Pelodiscus sinensis: one gene and its partner. The main gene of each other region encodes a partner of the protein of the gene in region 2 in a complex. Links are inferred from orthologs where the notes say so. Each region holds a gene or a part of one and is shown on either strand. Other genes may lie near its edges.

Evidence for each region.
Region 1: POLR2L (region 2) and GTF2H5 share a complex: the UniProt entries of both Homo sapiens proteins name them as parts of the TBP-based Pol II pre-initiation complex. The link is inferred for Pelodiscus sinensis from reciprocal best matches to the Homo sapiens genes POLR2L and GTF2H5.

Annotation. Positions count from the first base shown.
Region 1 is NC_134713.1:112,364,464-112,371,922, reverse strand, and holds the start of GTF2H5 (general transcription factor IIH subunit 5), read right to left. Parts: upstream 3,063-7,459; 5' UTR 2,931-3,062; intron 1,983-2,930; 5' UTR 1,904-1,982; coding exon 1,869-1,903; intron 160-1,868; coding exon 1-159. UniProt on the Homo sapiens protein: Component of the general transcription and DNA repair factor IIH (TFIIH) core complex, which is involved in general and transcription-coupled nucleotide excision repair (NER) of damaged DNA and, when complexed to CAK, in RNA transcription by RNA polymerase II.
Region 2 is NC_134714.1:119,981,366-119,989,417, reverse strand, and holds the start of POLR2L (DNA-directed RNA polymerases I, II, and III subunit RPABC5), read right to left. Parts: upstream 3,089-8,052; 5' UTR 2,955-3,088; intron 2,845-2,954; exon of another isoform or gene 2,702-2,844; intron 1,643-2,701; 5' UTR 1,630-1,642; coding exon 1,535-1,629; intron 1-1,534. Other genes in the region: TSPAN4 (tetraspanin-4), read left to right, coding at 3,137-3,327. UniProt on the Homo sapiens protein: DNA-dependent RNA polymerase catalyzes the transcription of DNA into RNA using the four ribonucleoside triphosphates as substrates.

The DNA of each region.
Region 1 (7,459 bases), on a different chromosome or scaffold from region 2:
GAGTTCTGATCCATTAACTCGCCCACTTTCTCCTGGAGGAAGTTAACCAACTCAGCCAACACAAAAACATGCGTTTCATCTAGGTCTTGTATGATGAATTTCTTTCCCAGGGCATTTGACTCATCCAGGTATAGTAGGAACTGCTTCATGGCTGGGTCACTGTAGACAAACATGCACCAGAATCCATATTATTGGCAGCGACAAAATACAGCAACACAGTATTAAGTAAAACAATTTTGGAATGATGGAACTTAAAAACTTCTTCCCGTATAACCTCAATCTCAAGATTTGTTTGTTGCCTACATCCATCTTTTTACAAGAATAACTTTTAGGAAAGCCTTTAAGCAAAAGTGACCCTGTTGGGACATTTTACAAATTAAACTGTGACTAGCTAGAAGGGCCCAAGAGGAAGAAAATTGGTAGCCTAACTTGCAGAGAATAATGATTACATTGGTATTATGAAACAAAGAACAGGACTATGTAGCACTTTAAAGACTAACATTATTGTATGTTTTTAGTAAAACATGTATAATGTGAGTTTATGGACAGTTACAGTTTAATATCATTGGTTTACATATTCTAGTTCTTGTCTGATTTTAGCTATATAAACAAAGCCAAGGTCCTTTGTTTTCAGTTTTGATTTTATTAAAAATATCATTGGAATTTTGGTGTTTATTACAAAAATTAAAAAGCTCAAACCAGCTGAGAGGGAAGATGCCGGGGCTTCTCCCCTCTCAACTGTTCCACGGTGTATAAACACAGGCTCTCCCTCGGCCCCACAGAGTGCCCTGGCCAGCACTGGGGCCGCCGCCAGCCGGCCCTTCAGCAGAAAGCCCGCCTGACCAGTCCGCCCCTGCCCCAGTCAGCACGCAACCAGTCCCTCTCCTTCCCTCCAGCACCTCACCCAACCCTCCCTCCCCCTAGCACGTGGATGCTGCTGCTGGTTCCGGTAGGGTTACCAAGTAGACACCCCTCCCCAAAAACCGGACACCTGATCGTGGGTTGGCGGGAAGCAAAGCTGGGGGACCACGAGGCTGGTGGGGGGGCGGGAAGCAGAGCTGGTGGGGGGGGGGGTGCAGCGGCACTGGTCGGGGGAGATCAGGAAAAGGAACGGGCTGGCAGGAAGCAGAGCTGGAGGGCGGTGCAGGGGGGCTGGCTGGGGAAAATCAGGAGGGGAAATGAGGGAGAACCAGCCCGCCGGGAAGGCAGGAGGTGGGGGGCTGAGAGCACAGGGTTTGGTGTGGGGCATTAGGGTTGGAGTATAAGGTTGCTGGGCTGGAGTCAGGGCAGAGATATGGGGGACTCTTGGTAAAGGGTAGGGGTTAAGATGTGTGGGCATGGAAGGTTTGTGAGGGCAGCTCAGGGCAGAAGGTGATAGAGTGAAGGCAGGAGGGGTGGACTCAGGGCACAGAGTCAGATGGGGGGGGCTCAGGGTAGGGAGGTGAGGGAGCAGGAGTCAGGGCAGGAGGCAAAGGGTGCAGAACTCAGGAGGAAGCTGGAAGAGATTATGAGGCTTAAAAGGATGACAATGCTGTGCTGACAACTCCTCCCGAGGGGACAGAGCTTCACTTTCCTGGGACTCCCCGTGCCCTCCCCCCTCCTTTCAGGATGGTGTTGTTGGGGTGCAACAGTCCCTGCTGCTCAGGCAGCTCGCACGCCAGCTGTTTTGGGGCTATCTAGATTATAAATTGCAAACAGTTGCATACTGGTCTAAGCAGAATTTGCCTAAGACTTCTGTTCAGTGCAAGAGGCACAGGAGAGACACTGAAGGAAGCAAAGCTTCTACATGTTCTGTGAAGTGGCTAGGATGTTTGAGGAACTATACAATTAAGAAAAGCTGAATTTCAACTGAAGACAGAAGTACTAACCATTCTATAAGAACACCCTTCAAGACATTAACCATCTTCTCCAACACACTTAGAAAGCCCAAATGTGGCAGAAAATAGATCTTGCTTTGAATTATGCTTGTAGGCAGAGAGAAACTGAAAAGAGAAAAAAATAACTGATTTTTTGTTGACCAAAGTGGCCATTCAAATTTGGCATGTATACTTTTAAATCACTGTAAGATTAGTGAAAATTACATGAACATATAAACAAAAGCTTACATCATAAATCCTAGCCTACATGATAATCTTACTTTTATAGAAGAGTGTGTCACATTTAACAGATGAGGGGAGACTGTTTCATGCATTACAGTAATGAAATAGTGATAGAAATGTAGCCGTGTTAGTCTGGGGTAGCTGAAGCAAAATGCAGGACAATGTAGCACTTTAAAGACTAACAAGATGGTTTATTATCATCTAATAAACCATCTTGTTAGTCTTTAAAGTGCTACATTGTCCTGCATTTTGCTTCAGTAATGAAATAAACATACTAATTAGTAATACAATCTTCTATCTTGTGAAGAACTACAGAAATTATGCAAATAAGTTATACAAAGAAATAGACAAGTGAGTCTCACGATAAGCAGGGCTTCTAGTTTTTAAGGGTGTGTGAGACTCACTTCATGTAGGGGTTTATTTTAGCAGTTTGAGTTGTATATAGACCCCCGCAAAGCGGTTTCTTTTAGCTTTTCAAGCACATAGTGTAACACGTAGCGCACGTTTCACACACATCTAAACTATACAGTCTCACTCATTACAGTGTCTATATCGCAACGGGCAATCACTGCAGCGTAATGCAGCACCCGACACCCAGCACCGGAGAGCACCAGGGAACCCCTCGTGCGCACCAACAGACCCCCCCCCCGCCCGCACACACACTGCTGCTCCCCGCAGACTAGCCCCCGGCTGCGGGTCTATCGGGGCAGGCACAGGGCGGCTGCGCGGGGGGGGGGGGGAGCAGGTGAAGCCGATGGGGCTGCGCCAAGGCCGGGGGGGGGGCGGCAGCGCGTGAGGCCCGATACCCTCCCTTCGCGCGCCCCCACCTACCCGCGGCCGCCCCCTCACGACGCAGCGAGCGGCTCCCAGCCCAGCAACCGCGCGAGCCCCCAGGCGAGAACCGAAGCGAGAGTGCGCACGCGCGGGCGCCGCGGCTCCCTTCCGGCCTCGCGCTAAACGGCGATTGGCTCAGGCCCGTCTTGCGTGGTGACGACACACGGGGGCGTAGTTGACAGCTGTCGGGAGACGGGAGAGAGAGGCAGCGGCCTGGGAGCGGGGCAGGTAATGGGGGGGGGGTATTGGCCCATCCACGTGTGGGGAGCGACGCTCTGGGAGCCCCTGTGCTGGGGTAGCGGCGGGGGGGGGGGGGCACGGGAGCTTCATAGGGTGCGGGCTCTGGGCTGCTTGAAGGGAAGCTGGGCTGCAGGTGGGGCAGGGTAAGTGTCCAATGCGGGGAGCAGCAGCGTGTGTGTGTGTGGGGAGGGGGGGGGGCAGCAGCTTATAACGAGTCTGACCCAAAATGAATTTGAAGAGCAACTAGAGAAGAGTAAAACTAACAAACAGCAAACTAAAACACGCTGCAGCAGCAGTGGGAAACCTGCCCAGCGGAGCCCTTTGGCTGGGTGATCAAGGTGTCATAGAAGCACTCAAGGAAGACAAGGCTGTTGTGGAGATGTTAAATGAAGTTTTTGCAGGGGGCTCCTGCGGGGTCTTATCAGTTACAGGCTGGGGCCCAAGTTCAGGCAAACTGGTTAGAACAAAAAAGTAATTATTCAACACACAGAAGCACATGGTATGTAGAGAGTAAACATGGCTGTTGGAAAAGGGTATCATACTTTACCAATGACTTAGCATTCTTTGAGAGTATCAGATGGCAGGATGATCCAATGGATATAGCATACTTGGACTTTTATTAAAACCTTGACAAGGTATCTTACCAAAGTCTCTTAAGCAAAGTAAGCAGTCATGGGATATGAGGTAGATTCTCTTTTGAAAACAGTAACTAGTTAAAAGATAGGAACTGTTTTTTCTTCACACAGCACATGGTTGGCCTGTGGAACTGCTTGTCAGAGGAAGTTGTGAAGACCAGGACTTTAACATGGTTCAAGAAAGAACTAGATAAACTCATGGAGGTTAGGTCCATCAATGGCTATTACCCAGGATGGGTAGGAATCATGTCCCTAGCCTCTGTCAGAGGCTGGTAATGGGTAATAGGAGAGGGATTGCTTGATGATTCTCTGTTCTGTTCACTCCCTGTTGGGCATCTGTCATTGACCTCTGTTGGAAGGCAGGATACTGGGCTAGATGGACCTTTGGTCTGACCCAGTTCTTATAGCCATTCTTATGTTCTAGCCAAGGGATAAGAAGAAAGAGAGCAATAGCCCTTCCCACACCAAATATCTCTACTATGACTGCTCATATTCAGCAATGATCTGGAAAAGGAAGTGAAAGATGATGTGGCAAAATTTGCAGATTAAAAAAAATTACAAAAGATAATTTAGTCCAAAGATGACTGTGAAGGGTCTCAAAGGCATCAAAGAGTCTCAAAGACATTTCATAAAACTGGGTGACTGTGCAACAAAAATGGCAGATGAAATTAAATGTTAATAAATACAATATTATTCACATTGGAAAACATAATCCAAACTACCTGTATATATAAAAAATATTAAGGTCTAAATTAGCTTTCACTTTTCAAGAAAAAGATCTTGTAGTCATCATGGATAGCTTTCTGAAAACATCTGCCCAATGTGTAGATAGAGTAAAAAAAAAAAAACTAACAATGTTATAAACCATTAGGGAAAGGTTAGTTAAAAAAACACAAAATATAACAGTATCCCTTTATAAATCCATGGTGCACCCATCCCTTGAACATTATGTGCAGTTCTGTTTGCCCCAACTCAAAGATATATTCAATTTGCAAAAAATACAGAGGAGAGTAAAAAATGATTAAGACAATGGAACAGATTCTGAGGAGAGAGACAAAAAAACCTGAGACTGTTCAGTTTAGAAAAAACACAGCCAAGGGGAGATATAAAATTATGAACGAGGTGGAGAAACTTGATAAGAAAGTTTTATTTATGCCTTTGGGTAACACAACTAGGGGTCACCTGATGATTTAATAAGCAGCAAGTTTAAAACCAGCATAAGAAAGTGTTTCTTCAAACTATGCACAGTCAACCTGTGGAATTCCTTTCTAAGGATCTTGTGAAAACCAAAAATATAAGTGGGTTAAAAAAGAATTCGATAAATTCATGGATAACAGATATATCAGTGGCTGTTATCAAGAAGGATGCAGTTCCATTCACAGGGTATCCCTAAATCTCTGACTGCCAGAAGCTGGAATTGGAGGACAGGAAATGGATCACTGTTTGTTTGTTAATTCCCTCTGAAGCACCTGGTACTGGCTGCTGTCGGGATGGAGGAAAGGGAGATAGATGGGCAATCTGTCTGACCCTGTATAATCATTCTTATGTTGGGGGGGTCTACGCTCAGGAAGCTACGGGGGGGGGGGGGAGGATTCTGGGTTTGGGGGAATACAAAGGGAGACATGGCTTGTGCCCTTGTTTTGGCCCTTGGTGATAGGTAAAATGGTTCTAGAAAGAAATCCGGGTTGTTCTACACTCAACCTTTTAACAAAGGCATGTTCAGTTGCTGTCAGCCGACAGTCAGGGCAGTATGTGTGTGTGTGTTTTCGAGAAAAGGTTTAATGTCCGTGTCTTTACTGCTAGGACCGGGGTCCCGTCGCAGAGGGTAGCCAGCAGGCCAACAGATGCCCCTTTATAGAAAGAGCTTATTACACCTTAGATTTTAGCTGCTAGAATGCAAGATTCCTTCGCAGCGGGCAGCCTTAGGAAAAGACTGAGAGGTGCCCCAACGGACCTGTCACCTGGGAGTGACACAAATCCAAACGCCCAAGCTCTTCCTATACCTGTTCCTTATGACTGGCTGAAGTTCTTTTAAATTGTGCTTGGTTTTGTTACAGCAACTGAAGGAGTCAGGTTAAAAACTTAAACAGTTACAGGTTTATTAAAAAGACTTATAAAACCATATGGTTACAATGGCTATTGCTCTCTTTCTTAACTGTTAGCAAATACAGATTTTAAAAATAGTTACAAAGAAAATAAAGATAGAAAATAGAAATAATGGTACTAAGTGACAGCTTAATCTTTAAAGAGCTCTAAATCTATGTGTACATTTACGACAAAGGACCACATCCAGGTACAATTTTTACCCCCTTCTGTGCCTCTCCACTTAAGCATGTCAGGCCAGGGCCGGTCTCTCAATTCCTAGGAAAGACGAATACGAGGTGGGCGTTCCTGTAGAACCTTGGGAGATCAAACACCTAACCCGACCAGCAGATAGATGGTAGATTGACACTCAGAGTAAATGTGCTGCTGGACCCATCTTTATATCCCTGGGGGCCCATATCCTCTTTCTTATCTAAGAGGCCAAATTGTACTGGTCCGTATTGTGGCGCCAGTTCTTACAAGCAAGTTTCAAGTTAATTTACACTTGCAAGAGAGATAACTAAATTGTGAGTACTAGACATTTTTTTTACTGGGCGAGAGATTCCTTCCCCCCCCCCCCCCCCCCCCGCGGACGGCTGTGTGTTCGTATCAATATGGGTTAAGTCAAGGGCACTCCTTGGCAGCCTCTTGGTCAGCAATTGGCGTATCTTTGTTTACAGCCATTCACGGTCACACAGCCTGGGCCTTCTGCTCTGTGTGCCCTGTATGCTCCAGACAAGCAAAAATGGATGTTACAGGGAGGGTTCCTGTCTGGCTACAGTTGCTTTGAGTAGAGACTCTTTTTCTGAAATGTTGACTAGATGTTTGGCATTAAATAGTACTTAATAAAGGCAACACAAGTATCCAGTCCTAAGCATCCTGACTAAAAATCACTTTCTCTCTCAGTTGCTCAGCTTTCACTCTGTTGCCTCTTGTCTGCTGTTCCACTAATTTTTTTTGGGGGGGGAGGGAGGAAGGGGGGGCTGTTGTAGCGTCTCCAAGGTTAGATAAGGCCTGATCTTATAATATGAAGGAGGAATGGGGATGAAGCAAAAATAAAAATAATCTTTTGGATTTCATTAACATGTTTTAAATAAGTAAAAAGCACATAAGATCAATTTTTCCCTTTGCATGGCATTTTAATGTGTCTGGTTGTTCCTCTTCGTGACATCAGGATGCTTATAGCTATAAAATTGTCTGGGACTAAAACTTCTTGCTTCCTGCATCATTCTAGTGATTCTGGAATTCTCTTGTTAGGACCTTACATAATTTTGCAAAAGTGAGTGTTGTCAAATCATACTACCATGTTTGTCCTAAATTCCAGTAGTTAATAGCCCTAAACCCTGTGGTGAAAACAGGCAGAATGCTAACTAAACTTTTGGGTTGGAGACAGATCTGTTCTAGAGTAATCACTTGTTTTTCTGCTTGTAGAAGAGATCTGTGAAGCTCAAAAGCTTCTATCCTTCACAAACAGAAGTTCATTCAATTAAAGATATTACCTCACCTACCTTGTCTTTCTTGTTCTTGTCACTGAAGACAAAAGAATGACAAAGGATAGGGGAATAGCGG
Region 2 (8,052 bases):
TAACCTTATGAATTCTTATTGGCTATTTGACTATTCCATAGTCTCCAGGGGGGAGACAGCCAGTGAGCCCCCTACCACTCCGTACTGCTGCCTCTGTATCAGAGGCAACAGAGTGGGATGGCAACAGCTTTTTCCCCCCTATCTGTGTGGTTGAAGGAATGTGGTGTAGGCTTTATGGTGAAGTCTCCATGTTAGCTCTCCCTTCAGGGCAGACAGGGTAGTTTTTTCTAAATTGTTGAACACTTACTAACTTTCATAAGATGTGAGTGCCCAGTATCCCTGGGGGGTAAAAAAAAAAAAAAAAAGATGAAAAAAAATCAAAAAAAAATCAAGCATTTGGTGCCCTTGTTCACTTTACAGACAAGATGTAGAGCTAGTAAAAAGTCCTATATTTAGGAGACAGGGAAAAGCAAACTAAACCCTGTGAATAGTTACATACATAACTGTATCAGAGAGGTAGCCATGTTAATCTGGATCTGCAAAAGCGACGAGGAGTCCTGTGGCACCTTATCAACTAACAGATGTATTGGAGCATAAGCTTTCGTGGGCAAAGACCCACTTCCTCAGATGCATGCGGTAGAAATTTCCAGAGGCAGGTATAAATATGCAGGCCAGAATAAGACTAGAGATAACGAGGTTAATTCAGTCAAGGAGCGTGAGGCCCACTTCTAGCAGTTGATGTGGAGATGTGAACACCACATCAGCTGCTAGAAGTGGGCCTCACGCTCCTTGACTGAATTAACCTCGTTATCTCTAGTCTTATTCTGGCCTGCATATTTATACCTGCCTCTGGAAATTTCTACCGCATGCATCTGAGGAAGTGGGTCTTAGCCCGCGAAAGCTTATGCTCCAATACATCTGTTAGTTGATAAGGTGCCACAGGACTCCTTGTCGCTTATACATAAATTTAGGCGCTACCCCAATAAAGTCAATGCATAAGCACTGAGGGCCTGTCTACAAAATTAGGTCAACCTACAGCCACCACAGCAATTAAATCTGATATCACTGATCATGCTACCTTCTTCCTACCAGTGGGGCACCGACAGCAGAATTGAGTGGCACCTGTATTCCTGGGGCTTGAGGTCAATTTCATAGCAGAAAGCTTACCAGTAGTGAAATGGACATTCTTGTCCGTTTTATGGCTGCTGTTATTTCATGCCCTCTCCAGCTCTGACTGTCAATACCAGGGCAGGAGGCTCAAGGTATGAGCCCGGTGCCCAGCTGAATGTGCAGGAAGTGTGGGGTAGCATCAAAATGGTGCCTGACTGACATGACAGCTCAGGCTGTTAGCACTGGGGCTTGGTCTCCAGTGTCTACACAGATACGGTGCTACCTAAGCACCATGTCTCTCACAAACATGGAGTTATTAAGTTGATGTAGTGGGTGATTTACAGCAGCAGAAGCATCACTGCAGTGTAGACAAAGACAGTTAGGTCAACATAAGACACCTTATGTCACTCTACTTCCCTAGCATAGACCAAGTCTCAGTAACTGTTTGCAAGATCAGGGCCAAGGACCATAAAGAAATACTTACCCTTCTGTATATTCTGCTTGGAGAAGGCCAAGATATGCTTCCCACTTATTTCCAACTATTTTGCCACAAGTGAAGCATCTGACGGGAATAATCATTTTCTTGCAGTGACTGTCAAAACATTAACCAAATAACATGGTTACCACTTACATTTACATCTTGGAATGCATTTGATGTATCTGTAAAATATCATTACGTAAGTTTTTCACACTGGGCAAAAGGGAGGTGGGAATTTCAAGAGTACAACACAGCTGAAAGGGTCAGTTCAGGCACCCAAGTATAAACAGTCCTGTTTATTTTATTCACACTCCTGGATTGTTAACCTCATATAAGAGCATCTATGCATTAGTCTTTCAGTTCAGACACCGATAGTTAAAGGCTATGGCAAGTTTCAGTTCAAACAATTTTAACAAAATCCTCTGATGCTTTGCCCACACTTAGAGTGAATAGAGAACAGGCATTACAGACCTAAGTAGTTATGGTGGTGGAAGGCAGGGTGCACTCTCATTCCTCGTTTGTATGCACCTACACAGCACAGTGAAAGGCTTGGGCAGCTCTCCATTGCTAGAGCCTTTCCCTCCAATAGTGAATGGTAAACTTGCTAAGAGACCCATGTAGGTAGGACTCTTGGGTCACCTAGGTAAGATCTTTGACTTGTTTAAGCAGAGCATAGGCACCTATGTGCTACAGGCTGCCCTGTCAGTCCAACCTGGATTAGAAGTTGAGAAACAAGGGGGCAGTAGCTGAGTGGATCAAGTGCCATATCCAAGCAGCGTTTTGCAGGCAAGGCGGGGAGGGGAGGCAGCTGCTCCTGGCTGGTTTGTTCAGAGTAGGGATGTAAAATCCCATTTAAATCAGCTAACCGGTCAGATGTCACATTTAACCGATTAGCCCGGATTCCCCCTGCCAAGAAGGGCACGAGCAGCCCCCACCCACTGCTCCAGCCCAGCCGGGCCGGGCCGGGCCAAGCCAAGCCCGCGGCGGCGGGGGAAAGGAGGGGGGAGGGAGCGTGCCAGGCAGCTGTTAGCCAGTTGCATCTCCAGTCAGAGCAGGCACAAGAGGCGGCGCCGGGTTTCAGGATTTTCAGCGAGACCCCCCCCCCGGGTCCCTGAACTCCGCACCGCTTCCTCACGGGCCCTGGGCTCGCGGGAGCCGCGCGCTCACACGCACCCACGCTGCGCTGGCCAGGGGCCATCTCGCCACGCGCCGGGAGCTCGCGCGCGCAGCAGCCGGACACTCGAGGCTCCCGGGAAGACCGTTGTGGCGCGCGCGAAGCCAGAGACCGGGGGGACGCCAGTCCCGGGGGTGTCTCTAAGGCCAGAGCGCGGGTCGTTCCCAAGCAGGTTGAGGGCCCCGGGTAGTGGGGCCCCTCAGGGGAGGGAGCCCGCGGAGCTGGTGGTTGGGTCTATCGCTGTCCCGTTACCTCAGCAGGCCGCGCGCCGCGTCCGGGAAGTGCACTCCAACTGCAGCAGACTTGTCCTTCTGCCGGCGATACCACTCCTCCCTATTTGGTGGGGGGGTGTTCCGTACCCAGGACGCAACAGTGCCACCGGAGATGATAGCGGCCGACCTACGGCCTAGCGCGTTCAGCTCCCCGGCTTCGGGATGGTACGTCCCAACTCGACGGCGTCTCCCTTGGCCCAAGATAGTCTCGTTCGGGGAGCGTTCGCGATTCGCGTGCGCGGCTGCGGCGCTGAGTGGCAGCTGGCGCTCTCGGAGTGTTCAGCAGCCTCCGCAGTAGCTGGAGCAGCGGAGCCCAGAGGCTGGCGGCAGCTGCGGCAGCGGCGCAGTGTCAGGTATCGCTCTTCCTTTCTTATGCTTCTCGTGCGCTCTCCGCAGCGGGCGGACACTTGTTGCTCGGGCTTTAGTAAAGGGACTGAGAAGAAGTAAGGTCCCCCTCCCCAGCTAGTGCTTGGGTTTGTGCATGAGTGGAAAGTGCAACTGGTGGCTGCAGCTCGGCACCAAGTTGTGCGCCTGGTGGTGGGGCAGCAGGGAGGCGAGGGAGAGCTGGAGAGGGGCTTCTCCTGGGTCCTTCAGGGGATTCACCAGCCTCTGCTGTTTCAGGGCGGGGAGAGGTAGGACAAGACGCGGGGTGTTTCTGGGTACCGCTCGCTGTGGGATGCCTTTGTCCCTAGGGCTCGGGAGTGATTTGCGAAGAGATGCTCCCAAGGCGGCTTGCAAACAGTGATGACACGCTAAGAATTAAAAACAAAAACCCCGCAACCAACCAAACAACAAACCCCACAGAGTGCAACGTGGAGAGACTTAAAAAACACAGACAGCCACACAAAAACTGCCCTTGGAAATTAATCCAGCCTGGTTTCACAATGCTGCCTAAGACTTTATTAATACCGTGCTTTCGTTTCCTAAGGGAAGGAGTCTCTATCCAAGCCAGATTTTATAGAGCTGATATTTGATGCCCCCCAAAACCCTTATTCTGTACAAATACAGATCTTTCAAGAGGAAGTAACCATCCCAAAGGTAACCGGAGGTGTGCCCCAGGGCACCCTACTGTTGCAGAGAGGGAAGTCTGATGTGCTACTTTACATTTCAATAATTTTTGTATTAAATGTGAAGTTTCTGAATTTGGTCACCTACAAATAATTGTGGAGGCATTTGTATAAAAAAGGCATATATTCTGCCAATTTTAAAGCGGACATCAATTGTTGATAGCAAGCAAATGGGGTTAGTGGTTACTAATAATATGTAAAAGTTTTAAATTAGAAATTATTTAAAAAATCCAAGTTACTTGTCACTGTGTACAGTTTATCCTTCTCTCAGCTTGACTGAAGCAAATCAGTGTGGATTGTTTTACTCTTGTTTATTGTCATTTTCACTTCCATGTTGTTAGTGGTGAATTTTTAATCCTGGAGGGGGATATTTACTGGTTCAAAACAACCGTTTTAATTAAAAGGGAAACAAAATAGGGAGAGTTATAATTATTTTAGTTCAGTAAGAGAGTTCACTTTTACATAATCTAAATTAGAGCCAATTAAACTTGAAAATGGCCCTATAAGGGACAGATGTTAATGTGACTCATGTTGTTAATATAAATTTAAAAGACAATGTGTGGCCAAAGCAAGAACGTTCTAATTTAACACTGGCACACACCATTCTTGGCCCATTTCCTTGTGCCTAGGCAATAGAACTCCATCATGCACTGTTAGGAAGCATCTGCAATATCTAGGGAAAAGGACAGGGAAAGAAAGGGTCATGCCCCACTGAGAAGGAGTTGCAGGGCTGGGTAGACAAGGTGAAAAACGATCACGCTGTGTACACCAAAACTTAAGAGGCTTTTGGTAATGTGTTTTTGTTGTGCTTAGAGAATGCAAGCAGGTATAGTTGCTACCTGCTTTGAGGGCACATTCTTCTGTTTTGGGTAGGAAGGTTGTGGGATAGAGAATCAGTATGAATATTGATCATTTTTACTGCTCACTTGTGTTACAACATTAACATTATGCTAATTTTCTTTATTTGAAGTGGTAATTTTCTGAAGTTATCTGAGATTTAATACAAAGCATAGTGTGGTCCCATTACTGCCCAGCATATAAATAATTGTCTTAATGCTCAGCTTATGTTAATACATCTTTCGTGACTCTTTTTTAAATACATGGATTATTGACCCAATACACACAAACTCTGGACTGAATCTGAACTGTAGAAGAGCAAATACTTCCATTATAACAAATGGGTTTTGGGATTGTTTATAAGTGGTTTTACAATTCTAAGCACTAACAAACAGACTATTATTTTGCAATCCCAGGAACAATAATTATCTTCAATAAGATAACGGAACAGAATGAATTGACTTGGCATCAATGCGAACTGCTGCCAGCCATAGATTCTTAGGCCAATGAGAACTGTTTGCATGTTTATTGTATATTTTTCTCCTTTGATTTTGTGTCTGTGGTGAATTTAGAGATTGTGATTTGATACCTTTTTAGGACTGGGGCTCTACAGAAATTCTCTCGCAGAACTGTGAAGTGTATTTGCAGGCAGAAAGTAGGGAGGGAGAGTGAGAGGGGAGGTACTGGGTTTTCGTGGCAGAGTGGCAACACTACAGGTAAGTCCAGGCTTTGCCTATAAGTTGTGGTAATTTTAAGGAAGACAAAACTGAATTTGACAGCAACTTTGAGTTAATTCTCAGCTGCTGCATCATAACATAAGAATGGCCATACTGGGTCAAATCAAAGGTCCATCCAGCCTAGTACCCTGTCTGCCAACAGTGGCCAAAGCCAGGTGTCCCAGAGGGAGTGAATCGAACAGGTAATGATCAAACAATCTCTCTCCTGCCATCCATCTCCACCCTCTGACAAACAGAGGCTAGGGACACCATTCCTTATCCATACTGGCTAATAGCCATTTATGGACTTAACCTCCATGAATTTATCTAGTTCTCTTTTAAACCTTGTTATAGTCCTAACCTTCACAACCGCCTCAGGCAAGGAGTCCCACAGATTGACTATGCGCTGTGTGAATAAGAACTCCTCATGTGCATCTTCATCAAGAAAACAGCACTGTGCTCTTGCCATAGTGTTACTTTTAACATTAGAGGTGTCCTGTGTGTACAGCCTACCCTGGCTGTGTGATGGGCTTAATGATCTAATACATCTCTTATGTCTCTAATGACTTTGATCCTATGAAATTTAAGTATTGTTGTTTTCTGTGAACCATATAGACTGCTACATTTGAGAACACTTTATGCAGAACGTTGCATGTCCTTTGTTTTCCTGAGTGTATTTGCCTGCCAACCCACAACGGGCTGTTTAAAAGATTTGTGTGTTGTGTTTTAAGAAGCAGAGTCAGTAAGGTATTAATCTTGGCACATTTTTATTAGGGTGATTTTTTGCTACCTTATTGGGTGGAATTCCCCATTTCCAGCACCTCTAATCTTAAGTGTTTTATAGGTTCTAATACCAAACCGTACTCTTTGGTGCTAAATTGAATTGGGTCTTCCACATAAATATCTCCTTTTGCAAATACTGGAGTTCTTTATGCTCCTAGAAGTGTGTGGTTACATCTCACGCCAAGAAGTTTTCACGCTCTCCCATTCTCCAGGTCTCCTACTACTATCAGTAAGTGGCACTCCCCAGATCTTTGTGGCTTTGGACTGTTATTGGAGGTTGTAGGATGCAATATCAATTGTAGATGAGCCTCTTAAGTTCATTGTTCGGGAGCACTCTGGCAGGGTCACTAGTAGTGAACCATATGAAGCAACAGGTTCAGGGATTCTGCATGAGGTTCTGACTGGCTAAGTTACTTCTTTGAGGAGTAAAGAAGTGTGATGCCAACCCCCTCCAAAAATGTGTGTGTGGGGTATATCCTAAAGCAGACTGCCCATTGTGCTGCTTTGTTGTGAAACTGCAGACATATGTATAACCTGCCCTCTGACATATGCATTACATTTCTTAGTTACATTTAGATTATCTTTGCTGTTGGCATAGCTTTCAAAGGCTACTGGTGTTTGCTTTGCCACTAACACTCTTGGGGTTAAACACACCTTGAGGACTTTGGAGGGAGGCGGACCTGCAAAGTACAGCTGGGCTGAGGTATAAAATACTATAGCAATGACCCATTATATCCTACATGTTTGTTTAAAAGGCAGATGTTCCTTTCTACTCTTTCCTGTAAAGCACTTTCTGTGGAATATTGCAGTCTGCTGCTCGTTGCCCAGGCCACCTTTGCTTATCCAATGAGAGGATTAAAGAATATTCAGCCAATTAAGAGACCTGCATGCACACTCCCTAAAGTGGTTTATAATGTGTTGAGGGCAAGTGAATTTCTGCATCTAGCCATGTTGAAAAGCTGTGTCTTCTGTGACCTTCTCCTTTTGTAGTTTGTACTGCAGGATGGTGGCTTAATATATGCCTGCTCCTCCTGCTGGCAAAGTTCAGAAACTGAAGGCATGTGTCTGAAGGCTTTCTTTTCATAATCCCTTGGGGGGGGATGAGGGGAGAGTGTGTGTGTGTGAGATTGTACTCTCTGGCATGTAGGAACTGATTTGCTGCTGCCTTGCATATTGTGTGAACATTTACACCTGTGCAGTGAGAGTGTATTTCTGAATTGACATTGACTTAACATGGGGTAAATTACCATAAAAGATGTAGAGTCACGGCGTATGCCGCCTTTTGTACCTGATTTGACCAGGTGTGGGAAACTCAGATTGTATCTCCATCACAGCCTACACTTGGTAAAATGCAAAAGAATTCTTTTTGGTAAGTGTTCCTTTGACATTGTAGACCAGGTAGTCTTGACTGGCACCCTTTTAAAAATCTGGCGATATGTGGCCCTTTGTCCAGTTAGAAGCAGAAGGTAGACTTTTCCTGCTTCTTTCCTTAGTCATTCAGGGTGTATCTAGACTACATGGCTTCATCGACGGAGCCAGGTAGACGAGTTTACTCGGCAAAGGGAAATGAAGCGGCGATTTAAATAATCGCCGCTTCATTTACATAAAAATGGCCACTGCGCTGTGCCGACAAACAGCTGATTGGCACAGTGCGGCAGCCATTTTTATGTAAACG